Ovis aries: one gene and its partners. The protein of the gene in region 3 purifies or fractionates together with the protein of the main gene of each other region. This does not show direct contact. Links are inferred from orthologs where the notes say so. Each region holds a gene or a part of one and is shown on either strand. Other genes may lie near its edges.

Region 1 (3,886 bases), on a different chromosome or scaffold from region 3:
TTTAAACTAAATGAGGCGGAGGTCCTCAAACTGCTGCTTCACATGCAGACAATCTTTAAAAAGTTATGACACAGCAGATGGGCTCCAGACACATACAAATGCTTTATCTACTCACATGTGGCCACACACTCATCTTTTTATACCCTTTATTCCCCCCCAAATTATCACCTGCTTCTGAGATGAAAATCAGAGATTTAAGTTTGAAAACAGTTCACCCCTACGTTAAAAAAAAAAAAAGTGTTTTTAACTAAAACAACAGTTTAAAAATCACTGAAGGATTTAAATACAAATGAACCTTTTATCTGTGTTGCCCCTACAGCAAATCATAGGCATTTCAACTTCTTAGGAAGTGTTGGTCGTTTTCCAGAACTGGTGGCTAAGAAATTAATGAATTTCCAATAAAGTCATGTAAAAGTTACCAAATCAATTTATAAAAGTCAAGATTAGAACACAGAAATCCAATTTCTCAGCTTTTGTCTGGGATCTTCAAAAGCTTAGAAACTGAGGATCAAATGCTATTTGAGGATTTGTTCCAACCAAGATTAGGTTTTATCCACGGAGAGCACCAGAGGTAGGGTATTTCAGAAAATCATTCCGCCACATGTCCATCAGAAACCTCAAAGTGCAAGCTCTACCAGAATAAGGATTGCCGTTATTTATAAAAACGTTACAGTGCAATGAAGCTGTAAGTATTACCATATAAATGCTTCAGATGATACTTCAACTAAAGCTTCTTGGTATACTCTCATCTTAAGTCAGGACCCAAGTACAGAAACGTCTCACCTGTTGTGCTCACTGTGCCATTCTGGACAAACGCTTGTACATGAACATCCCAATAGTGCTGGACAACATCACTTTTTTCTAAGGTTGACAAACTATTGCATCTAAAGATGTCATTCAATGGAATCTTGAGTGCCACACGATTATTAACAGTAAAAACTCCTGTAAGATAAGATTTAACAACAGCTATTTCCAAGAAGGTAGGAGGAAAGTGATCATATAAATACATAGACTTTCACCTTTTCTGTATGCCTGCCCCACCCAACTCCTGAAGTGACAACAGACAAGGCCTGTTCAGGGACCGACAAATTCACTGTGGCTAAAAACAAGGGGTTAAGAGGAAAGGGGTGATGGGGATTAGGAAGGAAAGATAAGTTGCAGGTGGTCACACTTTGCAGCATGTTCTATGACCTAAGGACAGGTTGGGCATTGTTTTGTTAGCAATAGAAGGTGAGTTTCAGTTTTTAAAGCTGGAAATAACAAACGTGTCATTTAAGGAAGACAGCAAAACTGTAGAGGTCAGGCAGAGCAGAAAACTTTTTAAGCGAAGTCATTTAAGAGGTAAACTAGTTAGTAGGCTAATGACCTGGTTAAGGGGAAAGATGAGGGCTCCCTGGTGGCTCAGTGGTAAAGAACCCACCTGCCAATGCAGCAGACATGGACTGGCTCCCTGATCTGGGAAGGTCCCACATGCCGCAGAGCAATCGAGCCTGTGCTCCAGAGCCCACGTGCTGCAACTACTGACGCCCGTGCGTCCTATGGTCCATGCTCCACAACAAGAAGCCACCTCAATGAGAAGCCCGCACACCACAACTAGAGAGAAGCGACTGGTCACCACAAGTAGAGAAAAGCGTGACAGCAACAAAGATCCAGCACAAAAATAAATAAATAAATAAAAGTATAAAAAAGCAGGGGAGATGAGGAGGAGTTGCCTAAACCAAGAGAGTGAGGGGCAGTAAGAGAGCATGCGTGTGTGCTCTGTCATGGCTGACTCTTTGTGACTCCCTGGAGTGTAGCCCGGCAGTTCCTTCTGTCCATGGGATTTCCCAGGCAAGAATTCTGGACTGGGTTGCCATTTCCTCCTCCAGGGGATCTTCCCGACCCAGGGATTGAACCCACATCTCCTGCACTGGCAGGCGGGTTCATTACCACACTGATCCACCAGGGCAGCCCAAGAAGAGAGCAGAGAGGCAAATTGAAAACACATATCTAAGGCAGAGGCAACAGGACTTAGCGACAAAACAAACAAGAGAGATGGGATAATCAAGGATTATTTTTGTGCTACAATCCCAAAGTAAGTGAAAGTAACTAAAATGAGTTTTTGAAACCTCTTCCTGGACAGAATTTAGAGACTACTCCATTTTAGGAACATCTCAGAATACGAAAGCAATAAGTTACTGCCTTTCTGTGCAGTTATTATAACGCCTATAGTGAAATGCCAAATTGAAAAAAAAATTTAAACCAATGAACCAGAACAGTTTCCTCCAAAACCATTTTTCACTGTTAACTAAGTGAACAGATGTCTGAACTGGCTGTACATAGACAGACCTCTAAAAACAAATGAGTGCAAAAACAAGTCATAGACACCGGAGTTACATTATAAAACTGTCATTTTTAAAATGATGTATTGTGTCTGAACATATATTGACATATATATTAGTCAAACACAAACACATAGACAAGAAGGCTACACTCCTAACTCCCAAGAGTGGTCCCTTCTTGGGAGGCAAGGAGGAAAATGGCTCTGCGGAGTGGGTACAAAGGAAACCTCTAGAGTACCTGGTAAGGTTTTTTATTTCTTGAAATAAAACAATGAGGCAAATATGGAAAAAACAGCATTAGTTCTAGGTAATGGATTTATGTGTGGTTCTGTTATTTCCTGTACTTTTCTATTTCTACACTGTAAATTTTTAAAATTTTTCATTTATTTAACACCAAATACATTTTGTATTGGGGAATAGCCGATTAAGTGAAGGGACTCAGCCATACATATACATGGTGGCTTAGACGTACAGAATCCGCCTGCAATGAGGGAGACCTGGGTTTGATCCCTGGGCTGGGAAGATCCCTGGAGGAGGGCGTGGCAACCCACTCCAGTATTCTTGCCTGGAGAATCCCCATGGACAGAGGAGCCTGGCAGGTTATAGTCCATGGGGTCGCAGAGAGTCAGACACGACTGGGCGGCGAAGCACATTCTCCCCCCAACTTCCCATCCAAGTTGGCATATAACACTGAGAAGCATACACTGTATTTTAATCATGAAAAAGAAAAAATTAAAGGAAACAGCAGGAGGTAATTCCCTGGCAGTCCTGTGGTTAGGACTCCAGTCTTTCACTGCCAAGGATGCGGGTTTAATTGCTGGTTGGGGAACTAAACTCCGAGAAACTGTCGCACATCCAAAAACAAAAAACAACTTCAAAGTCACTTCAATTACCAGATGCCTAAAAATAGGATACTAAATTATTTCTAAAAACTATGGACAGTTTAAGGGAGTCATTTAAAATCTCAAATAGATTCAAATATTACAGAAGCTAGCAATAAACATTGTAGCTTCCCTTAGTCAGGAAACTAAGACCCCCACAAGCCATGTGGTACAGCCAAAAAAATGTTGTTAATGCTGTTTAGTAGCTCAGTCATGTCCCACTCTTCGCGACCTCATGGACTGTGTCCCACCAGGCTCTTCTGTCCATGGGATTTCCCAGGCAAGAATACTGGAGTGGGTAGCCATTCTCTTCTCCAGGGGATCTTCCCGATCCAAGGCTTGAACCCACGTCTCCCGAGGTCATAAATAAATACATAAATAAAAAATGGGGGGGAGAGATCGGTGTTAACATTTCAAAGTCCACAATCTTCCCATCAAATCTGTCAGATTAACCCCCATCTGCTTTTACTGCCGGAGAAGGCAATGGCACCCCACTCCAGTACTCTTGCCTGGAAAATCCCATGGATGGAGGAGCCTGGTGGGCTGCAGTCCATGGGGTCACTAAGAGTAGGACAGGACTGAGCGAGTTCACTTTCACTTTCATGCATTGGAGAAGGAAATGGCAACCCACTCCAGTGTTCTTGCCTGGAGAATCCGAGGGACGGGGGAGCCTGGTGGGCTGCT
Region 2 (3,986 bases), on a different chromosome or scaffold from region 3:
TGCCCGGGGCTGAAGGTCGGGGTGGTGCCCTCCACCTCAGCCCCACTCACTGCATTCTGAATACTCTCGTTCTGATACTCAGGCGTCCGCCGGGTCTCATTCTGCAGCTGTTCAAAGCGGGGGCATGGGCCCAAGGGGAACTTCAGCAGCTGCAGACCAGAGCGGGGGTAAGCAGAGGCAGAGAAGGAGTCGGGGATCAGCAGGCCAACGGCCAGAGTCGTGCCTGCCGTCGCCTCGAGAGAAGGGCGGGCCAGGCTTACCCTGTCCTCGGCAATGGGCACGGTGTGGACGGGGATAGGCTGCCAAGAAATGTTTGGGTTAAAGCGCTGCATCCCGTCGGGCGGGAAGAGTCCAGCCAGGTTGGCCTCCGCACTCATAAGCGTCCGGTCAAAGTCTGTGCTTCGCACATAAACCTGCAGAGATGACAACATCAGTCCCACCTGTGGGAGTCGGGGAGTGGGGGCAGCTGTGGCCTCACAGTGGGGCCCCAGTTCTTGCTGTTCACCCAGCAAATTGTGAATCCACCAGGCATCTGGCCTTCTCCCCTTCTCTGGCCTTCCCCACCCATCTTCCAGCCTAGACGGATGGGGTTGCTGTCCCCCCATCTACAAAGAATTCCTGCGGGAATGGCTATAGGTCAAATGCCCCTCCCAGTCTAAAGTGCTTACTCAACAAGGCTCTCGGGTCTGCCAGCCTGCCTGGTTTATTACAACACCTGTCTCCCTTATCGATGCCCGGGTCCTTGGGGGCAGAAACTGTCTTTAATCTCACACACACACACACACACACACACACGCACACACACACACACTGCTTAATAACTGGCTTACAGAGCAGGAGAGGAAACAAGATGAGGAACAGAGATAAGTGCCTGTGAAAAGGGAGGAAGAAGTTAGAAAGGGCAAGATCAGGATAGGGCCGGCCCTCAAGGAAACAGTAACAACCTGAGGGACACAGATTGGATCTGGCTGATGCACTGTTACACGCAGTGCCAGCACAGTGCCTGGCCCGTAACAGTACTTGGATGGAAAGCCTGAGTTACTTCACAGAGTTGGAAACTACTCTGCGAGGCCCTTAGGTCTGGGCTTGGATGCTTGAACAGTTTGGCTTCTTCCCAAGCCAAGCAGGGGCAACTCAGCCTCCAGAGTTTTGCTCCAGACAGCCCGTGGACGCCTCATCCTGCAGCTGTAACCAGAGACGCACGGAGGAAGGCCACAGTGCCCGGGTCACCGGCAGTCTCCCCGAGGGCAGAGGGTGAGAACAGCCGATCCCTCCTCCCTCTCGAGTTCCCAGCCTTACCTCCTGCCGGTGGTAAGAGGCGTTGAGGAAGCCACGGTAGCGCTGTCGCAGAGCCTGGCCCAGCTCCCAGTGCTGCAGCATGCCCTCCTGTGGGCAAACCCAAGGGTTAAGAGGCCCCGGGGGAGAGGGATGGCGCATGAGGACAATAGGGGCTAGCCACGGCTGCTTTCCACCTTGCGGTTGGAAGCAGATGGGTTAATCTGATCCCACAAGTCGTTTATTAAGGGGTTGATTGTGTGTGCATTGTGTGTGCCCATTTTAATCTGGGCACAGATGAAAGTGAGCTGAAGAAATGTGGCCAAAGTCAGCAGCCACATGGGGAAAAGCAGTCTGGTGAGTTCTGCAGCTCATCCTGAGAGAGCTGGCTCCTGACCCACCTTGGTTAGCTGACCAAAGCCCTGGGGCCATTTGTCTTCCTGATGGGGGTCCTTGGGATATGTCTTCACTGGAGAGCGGTCTCCATGTCGGTACAGCTGAGGAAAGAAAGTGGTGAGCCCAGAGGTCAGAGGGTCCCCTTGGTGTGGACACAGAGCCAACCTCTGCCCCATGTTGAGAGCCTTAACTCTACCCACGGCGAAAAACCCCAAACTAGAAGTCACTAACTTCTTGCAGCCTCCAGAGACTCTTAACTTGGTTAAGCAGTGCCGCTGGAGACCTTGGGAAAACCGAAAGTACAGGAGGGAAAGGGAAAGAAATGAAAGCAATGCAGGTGTGTTGTGGGGGAGGGGGGACTGGAAAAAAAATCACCAAAGGTTGCCTTAGAAGTGAATCTCTTATAAATCACTGAACTACATCCCACTCCCAAGGCAGACTCACCAATCTATCCTCTAATACAGAACTCCGTGTACCCTGCCCCCAACCCTAAATACCCCAGGGCTTCACAAAAACTGCGAACCCTGGCCCCCAACCCCGCAGGCCAGTCGTCTCCCCACTCCTCCAGACCCTAGACCCCAGCAAAGCCCCGCCCCTCCCTCCACCAGCAGGCCGGTGCCCTCCTAGCACTGGCCAGCCCTTGGCGACCCCATTTCTCATTACCAAGGTAACGAAACGCAGAGTCCGGGCCTGGGTGGGTGGCATCACCATCAGGTTCACACCAAGAATGAGCTGGAGAAGAGCCGCCCGGCTCCAGCCAAACCGCCTGCCCGCCATCACCGCTGTAGTCTATGCAGCACAGAGGCTGGAACCCTCTAGGTGACACTTGCAGCAGCCACCCGGACGCACCCTTAAGAACACACGCCGGAAGTGCGCTCGCCGCCATCTTGGTAAAGGCGCGCGGCAGGGATGGTGGGAGGAGGAATCCCGGAGGGAATTCCTGTAGGAGGTTCGCGATCCTGCGGTGGAAGAGGAGCATGGGACTGTAGCGCGACCTCGCCCTGCAGAAAGGGTTTGAAGACCTCGTCCTGGTAAAGAGACCCCTGAGCGTGGATTTTGCCTCTGGTCACGGAGACCCACGTACCAAGGTGGCTCTTGAATTCGGCTGGACCGTGGCCGGGAGAGCGAGCGCCCCCTCGGGCCGGGGGGTGCCGTCAGGCTTGACCTAGAGCCAGAGCCCGTGCCGAATTGAGGCGAGGGGTGGCCCAGGGGTGGAATTTGAGCCTTGGCCCGGGCTCTTATTCCCTGAAAGAAGGCTTGTTCGGGGTGTAGGGCACAGGGTGTACCAGCCCTTTGGACTTCCTGTGTGCCTGAGGTTGGTCCCAGTCTAGCCTACTGCTCATTTCCTGAGCAGAGCTTAAGGTGCTCTCTCACTTCCCCTTCCAGTGCTTTTCCCTCTCCTCCCACCCGTCCACTTCCAGGTTTTAGATGATTAGAATCGAGATGCTGTGCCTCTTCTCAAAGGGGTTGGGTTGCACAGGATGTTCAGTCTCCAAAACCAAAGCAGTGAATCCTCAGGGGAGACATTTCAGACCAGTGGGGAGATATTTTAGGGGTAAGGGAAAAGAGGATATCATACAGTAGGAGTAGATGGGCTTTCCACAGAATCAGACAGAGGCCCGCTTGGCACTCATCGCTAGGATATAGGTGAAGCCAGTCTGGCTTCAGATCTTTGTGACTCTGAACTTGGGGAGGGACTCACTGCTCCAGGAAGTCAGGTCAAAGGCCATTGAGATGCTTTGATTCAGTCTGGCCCCTAGTAGCCAATTACCTCAGATCATTGGAGAAATAAAACCTGATCAGAACATGTGGAAGAAAGCAGAGTCATTATTTTGCCCCAGAACTCCAGATTGAATTATTTACATATATTTCAGGATCTAAACTTTGCTTCCGAAATTGTTATGGAGGAATGAATAGAAATTGAGAGCTGAAGGCTCTCAGAAAAATGTCCATACACAAATAGAATTTTGTACACAATCCCAAGAAGTTCATGAAGACCATTAATAAGCTTCATAAATCCGCATCTCTGAATCCTTGATGTAACCTAGTCCCCTTTTCTTCACAGATAAGAAAACAAATCCTAAAAGAGGAAATGACTTGTCCAAGGTCACACAGTTTAGGAGACTGGATTAAAACTCAGGTTTTCTGATTTCTAGTCAAATTGTCCTGTTATAAACAGACTATGTCTCACAGGCTACTCAAACTGCATTGTTTAACTATATTCAGTGGCCCCCAAATATTTTCAATAAAGAGATTTCTAGCAAAGGAAACCTTTTCACATGGATGGGGTTGAACGGGACATGGTTAATTGACAA
Region 3 (3,986 bases):
ATACTCAACACCCTGTGATTATGAGGTTTCCAGTCTAGCTGGAAAAACAAGCACTAATCCTTGTCCTTGTGAGAGTACTGCTCCTTCTAGTCCTTCTGGGTCATTTTTTTTTTTTCCCTCAGTCGTCAGGGCATTACCTCAGAGGCATACAGAACAGGACTTAGCTGAACAGGGATTCTGCACTCTTTGGAGCTCTCCCTCTGTACAGTGCTCTGCTCTCTGGGTTCTCTGGTGAACCCAAGTTGCTTCAGTATCCCCAGATTCAGCTCCACCTCCTCAACTCAGGGTCCTACTGAAGCCCACCTGGTGCCCCTACCTCTGCCATAGCCCACAAACTCTCTTTAGGCAGTGAGCTGGCAATTACACAGCTCGTGTTGTTTCCTATCTCTCAAAGATCACTCTAGTTCATTGCTTGATGTCTATTATCTCAAAACAATGTCCCTTCATATACAGATATTTTGTTCTTCCAGGCAGAAAGAAGCACAAGGTATGAAAGTGGTTGGAACAGGTGTGCTTCACAGGGCAGGACTCTACATTATACTTTATTCTTTGTACCTTTAGTACCTGACACACAGCAGGTGCTCAATATGTGTGTAGAGTGAATGAAAGATGGCCCAACTTCTTGAACAGTTGGGATCTAGGAATTTTTTAAAAGACAGCACTGAAACCCTGACTGTAAGACAGCAGTCTACTTTATCTCTCTCTTGGTCCCTTTCATGCACTTTCTCCTCTGGTCTGCATGAGCTTTTTGGAGTGCCCACAAATACCCTCTCTTATCTTTTTCAGCATCCAACTCATCTTTCAAGGTCCAACAGAATTTCCATCCTCTATAAAACTTGTCTTGCCAAGTGTTTTCTTTCTACTTTAAAACCAAGAAAGGTATTGCATTTCATGTGCTGACTTGTATTGTTTCATTTATGTGTATGCCTTTTGTTCTCCCTCACTACACTGAAGGGGTCGGGGACAATATGGTTTCTGTCACTTATTCAATGTTCATGAAATACAATGTGTTTGGTGACTATATCAAATACACTGTCCTTTGGATCCTATAAGAAATGTAGGAGAACTATACAAACAGCATCCTGTCTCTCTCTGTAACTTGTCATCTGCAAGAGAACGGTGAAAGGAATAAGACTCTTAAAATAATCACACTGCTACCTGGAAAAGATACCTGTTGTTTGTCCACATCATCTCCTCCCTTTTTTGTCACAATTATTACTTCCCCTTTGGGGACCCAAAGTCTACCTCTGCAATCTCAAGGGGAATATCCTTCAGTGCTCTTCACCTTCCTCTGGTCTAAGGATGGTCATGAAACCAAAAAGGGTTAGGCCAATCTAACTCTCTCTTAGAGTAACAGAGCAAACAAAAGGCCATGGTTGAGATAGATCCATCCCAGAAGAGATTCTGAAAGGACTCCTGTCACTGGATCCCTTAAGCAGCCCTGGTTTGAATCCTTTCAGAGAATTAGGTGTTCATCTACCCTATATCCTTTCAAATAAATCCCTTTCTTCCTTAAAGTAGCCAAAATTGGTTTGCCCGCTTGCAAACAAAGAACCCAAACTAAAAAGTTTTTGTCTCTTAATTCATTTAGGCCTAGGACATGGCACATAGTTTTTAGCTTTCTCTTGGGTGGGAGAAATCATATCCACAAATACCAAAGGTAGGCAATTGTTCATACCTAAAGTAACCTAGCTATGTAGATATTGGTGAAACATTACTCTCCAATCTTCTGGTGAAACAAATTTCTAGGATTGTACTAATCCTAAAGCTAAAAGTTACAGATCCAAGAACCTGGAGGCAGCTTAGCACCAAGCAAGAAGCATTTACTGCACACATTTTTATGAGTCTCATTTTCCATTTAGATACTCATTTTCTCCACATATTTTCAATTCATGAATCTCACCCTTTAAAAATTCAAAAACAATCAATTTTTCTTTAAATATATGAATCTCAAATCCACTTTCAGGTGTTACAGTTAGCTTTCCACTTTCTCATAGTGTAAAAAACATGGGTTTTAGTCCTATCATTAGAAATTGTTTGGTCTTTATTTAGTCAAGATAATTGAACTATGGTCACTATTTGCACAAGAATCTAAGGTACTGTAGGGCTGGAATTGTATTTCAAGTGTCTTGCGTGATGCATCTCATTCAGCGGCAGGATCACAGTAATATGCCTATTAATTTATTAACTTAAATCAGTGCTTTAATATAACTATTAACTTTGCATTTTCTCAAGAGCAAGAATTTTGTAATTCAATGGGTAATCCAGTTAATTCTGGGCACAAATACATGCTTTTCCTAAAAATGTTTTAATACCCTCAAGCAAAGACTTTTACAGTTACGCTGCACTCTGTACACTGTAACTAGTGCAGTGGCTTCTAATAATCCTGTTTGGATCCACTTAAGATTTAAAAATCCCTTCACTCCTACCAGGCCTCCATTTAAAACATCATATTGTTTGTCTCCAATGCGGGTTTCCGTGTGATGATAGCGACAGATCTGCCCTCAGAGCCAAGGCCGGAGGCCAAGAGGAGGTGGACTCGCTCCTGCGCCCGAGGCCATGCGCGCATCGCTGGCCTCCCCAGTTCTGGGACCCGACACGCGACCGCAAGGGCTGGGCGCCCCTCCTGCTTCCTGTGACGAGAAAATAAGCCCAGGGCCAGCAAGGCGCGGACCCCGCCGGCGCCCCTGCGCCTCCTCCCACAAACCGCAGCCCGGTAACCGCGCGCAGAAGGATCCCCTCCGCCAAGTCTGTTCCCAACCCCGTCTCTGCCCAGGGCGCCCAGCATCAGAGGAGGGGTATGCGGGCCGGTGGCTCGCCACCTGCCACTGAGCACTCACGTCCTCCATACTGCCGGCCGCCGGAGGCCGCAGCCGGGCCGCCCAGCCTCCGCACCTGAGCCCGCGCCGCCTTCCGGGACACGCCCTGGGACCCACCCTTTGCTTTCAATTGGCCGAAGCGTAGAGGCGGGCCCCTCCTCCTCGCTCCAGGGCCCTGCTTCCGGCGGCAGTCCCAGGCCCGCCCCTCGCCCTCGATTGGCAGAGGGGCAGGAGTGATTGGTCCCGCCTCTTGCTTACTATTGGTAGACTCTGAGGGGGCTGATCCAATACCTCGATCCCGAATGGCCAAGGAGAAAGGGGGAGTGACCCTTCCCGAAGTCCCTCCCTGGGAGGCCGCTGGCTCTGGGAACGCTGCGGTGCCTACGGACTGCGAAACCTGCGCTAGTGTCCTAGGTTGGCCAGAGATTTGGGCGCTAATGGATGCGTTCTAAGTCCAATAATTGAACTACTTTTGGCCGTCAGCTGCTTCTTTATAAAGCATTATTTTTTCTCGGCTTTCTTTAGTTATTGTTTGCAGCGTAGACCTGTGCATAGGACCCGCGGTAGAATCCCAGGTTTTCATTGATAGCACAAAACTCCACCATCAGAGGAACACAAACAGAATAAAAACTGTTTTCGAGGACACAGTTAATGATTTCACCAGTGGGAAAGGAGGAAATAAGGGGTTTTTTTTTTTTTGGGGGGGGGGGGTTGGACTTTTTATTCCAAGTGAAATTGAACAAGAAATTTTATGGCATTTTTCTGAGACTACACTATCGTTTGTTAAAACGTGAAAGTGACGTTGTTCAGTCGTATCTGACTCTTTGCGACCCCGTGGACTGTAGCCTACCAGGCTCCTCCGACCATGGGATTCTCCAGGCAAGAATACTGGAGCGGGTTGCTGTTTCCTTCTCCAGGGGAACTCCCAGCCCAGGGATCAAACCCAGGTCTCCCGCATTGGAGGCAGACGCTTTAACCTCTGAGCTACCAGGGAAGCCTGGTTAAAGTGTTAAGAAAGTTAAAAATGTTGTCAATATCAGCCCCCATTCTATTGTTATATTGTAGTAATAAACTTTCATACTTTTTAATGCTTATTTGTACATTGTGTATGGTGTAATCTTGTTTATACCATTGTTGAAATAAAATTATTTACGTATCAGCCAAGAA

What was found.
Region 1: the proteins of TMEM192 (region 3) and LAMP2 purify together in Homo sapiens (affinity purification with western blotting; 5 studies listed by BioGRID and IntAct, with this or other methods). This does not show direct contact. The link is inferred for Ovis aries from reciprocal best matches to the Homo sapiens genes TMEM192 and LAMP2.
Region 2: the proteins of TMEM192 (region 3) and ACP2 purify together in Homo sapiens (affinity purification with mass spectrometry; 3 studies listed by BioGRID and IntAct, with this or other methods). This does not show direct contact. The link is inferred for Ovis aries from reciprocal best matches to the Homo sapiens genes TMEM192 and ACP2.

Annotation. Positions count from the first base shown.
Region 1 is NC_056080.1:104,780,997-104,784,882, forward strand, and holds part of LAMP2 (lysosome-associated membrane glycoprotein 2), read right to left. Parts: intron 943-3,886; coding exon 784-942; intron 1-783. UniProt on the Homo sapiens protein: Lysosomal membrane glycoprotein which plays an important role in lysosome biogenesis, lysosomal pH regulation and autophagy.
Region 2 is NC_056068.1:76,049,820-76,053,805, forward strand, and holds the start of ACP2 (lysosomal acid phosphatase), read right to left. Parts: upstream 2,472-3,986; 5' UTR 2,449-2,471; coding exon 2,335-2,448; intron 1,773-2,334; coding exon 1,677-1,772; intron 1,387-1,676; coding exon 1,300-1,386; intron 414-1,299; coding exon 261-413; intron 150-260; coding exon 51-149; intron 1-50.
Region 3 is NC_056070.1:393,450-397,435, forward strand, and holds the start of TMEM192 (transmembrane protein 192), read right to left. Parts: upstream 2,916-3,986; 5' UTR 2,850-2,915; coding exon 2,841-2,849; intron 1-2,840.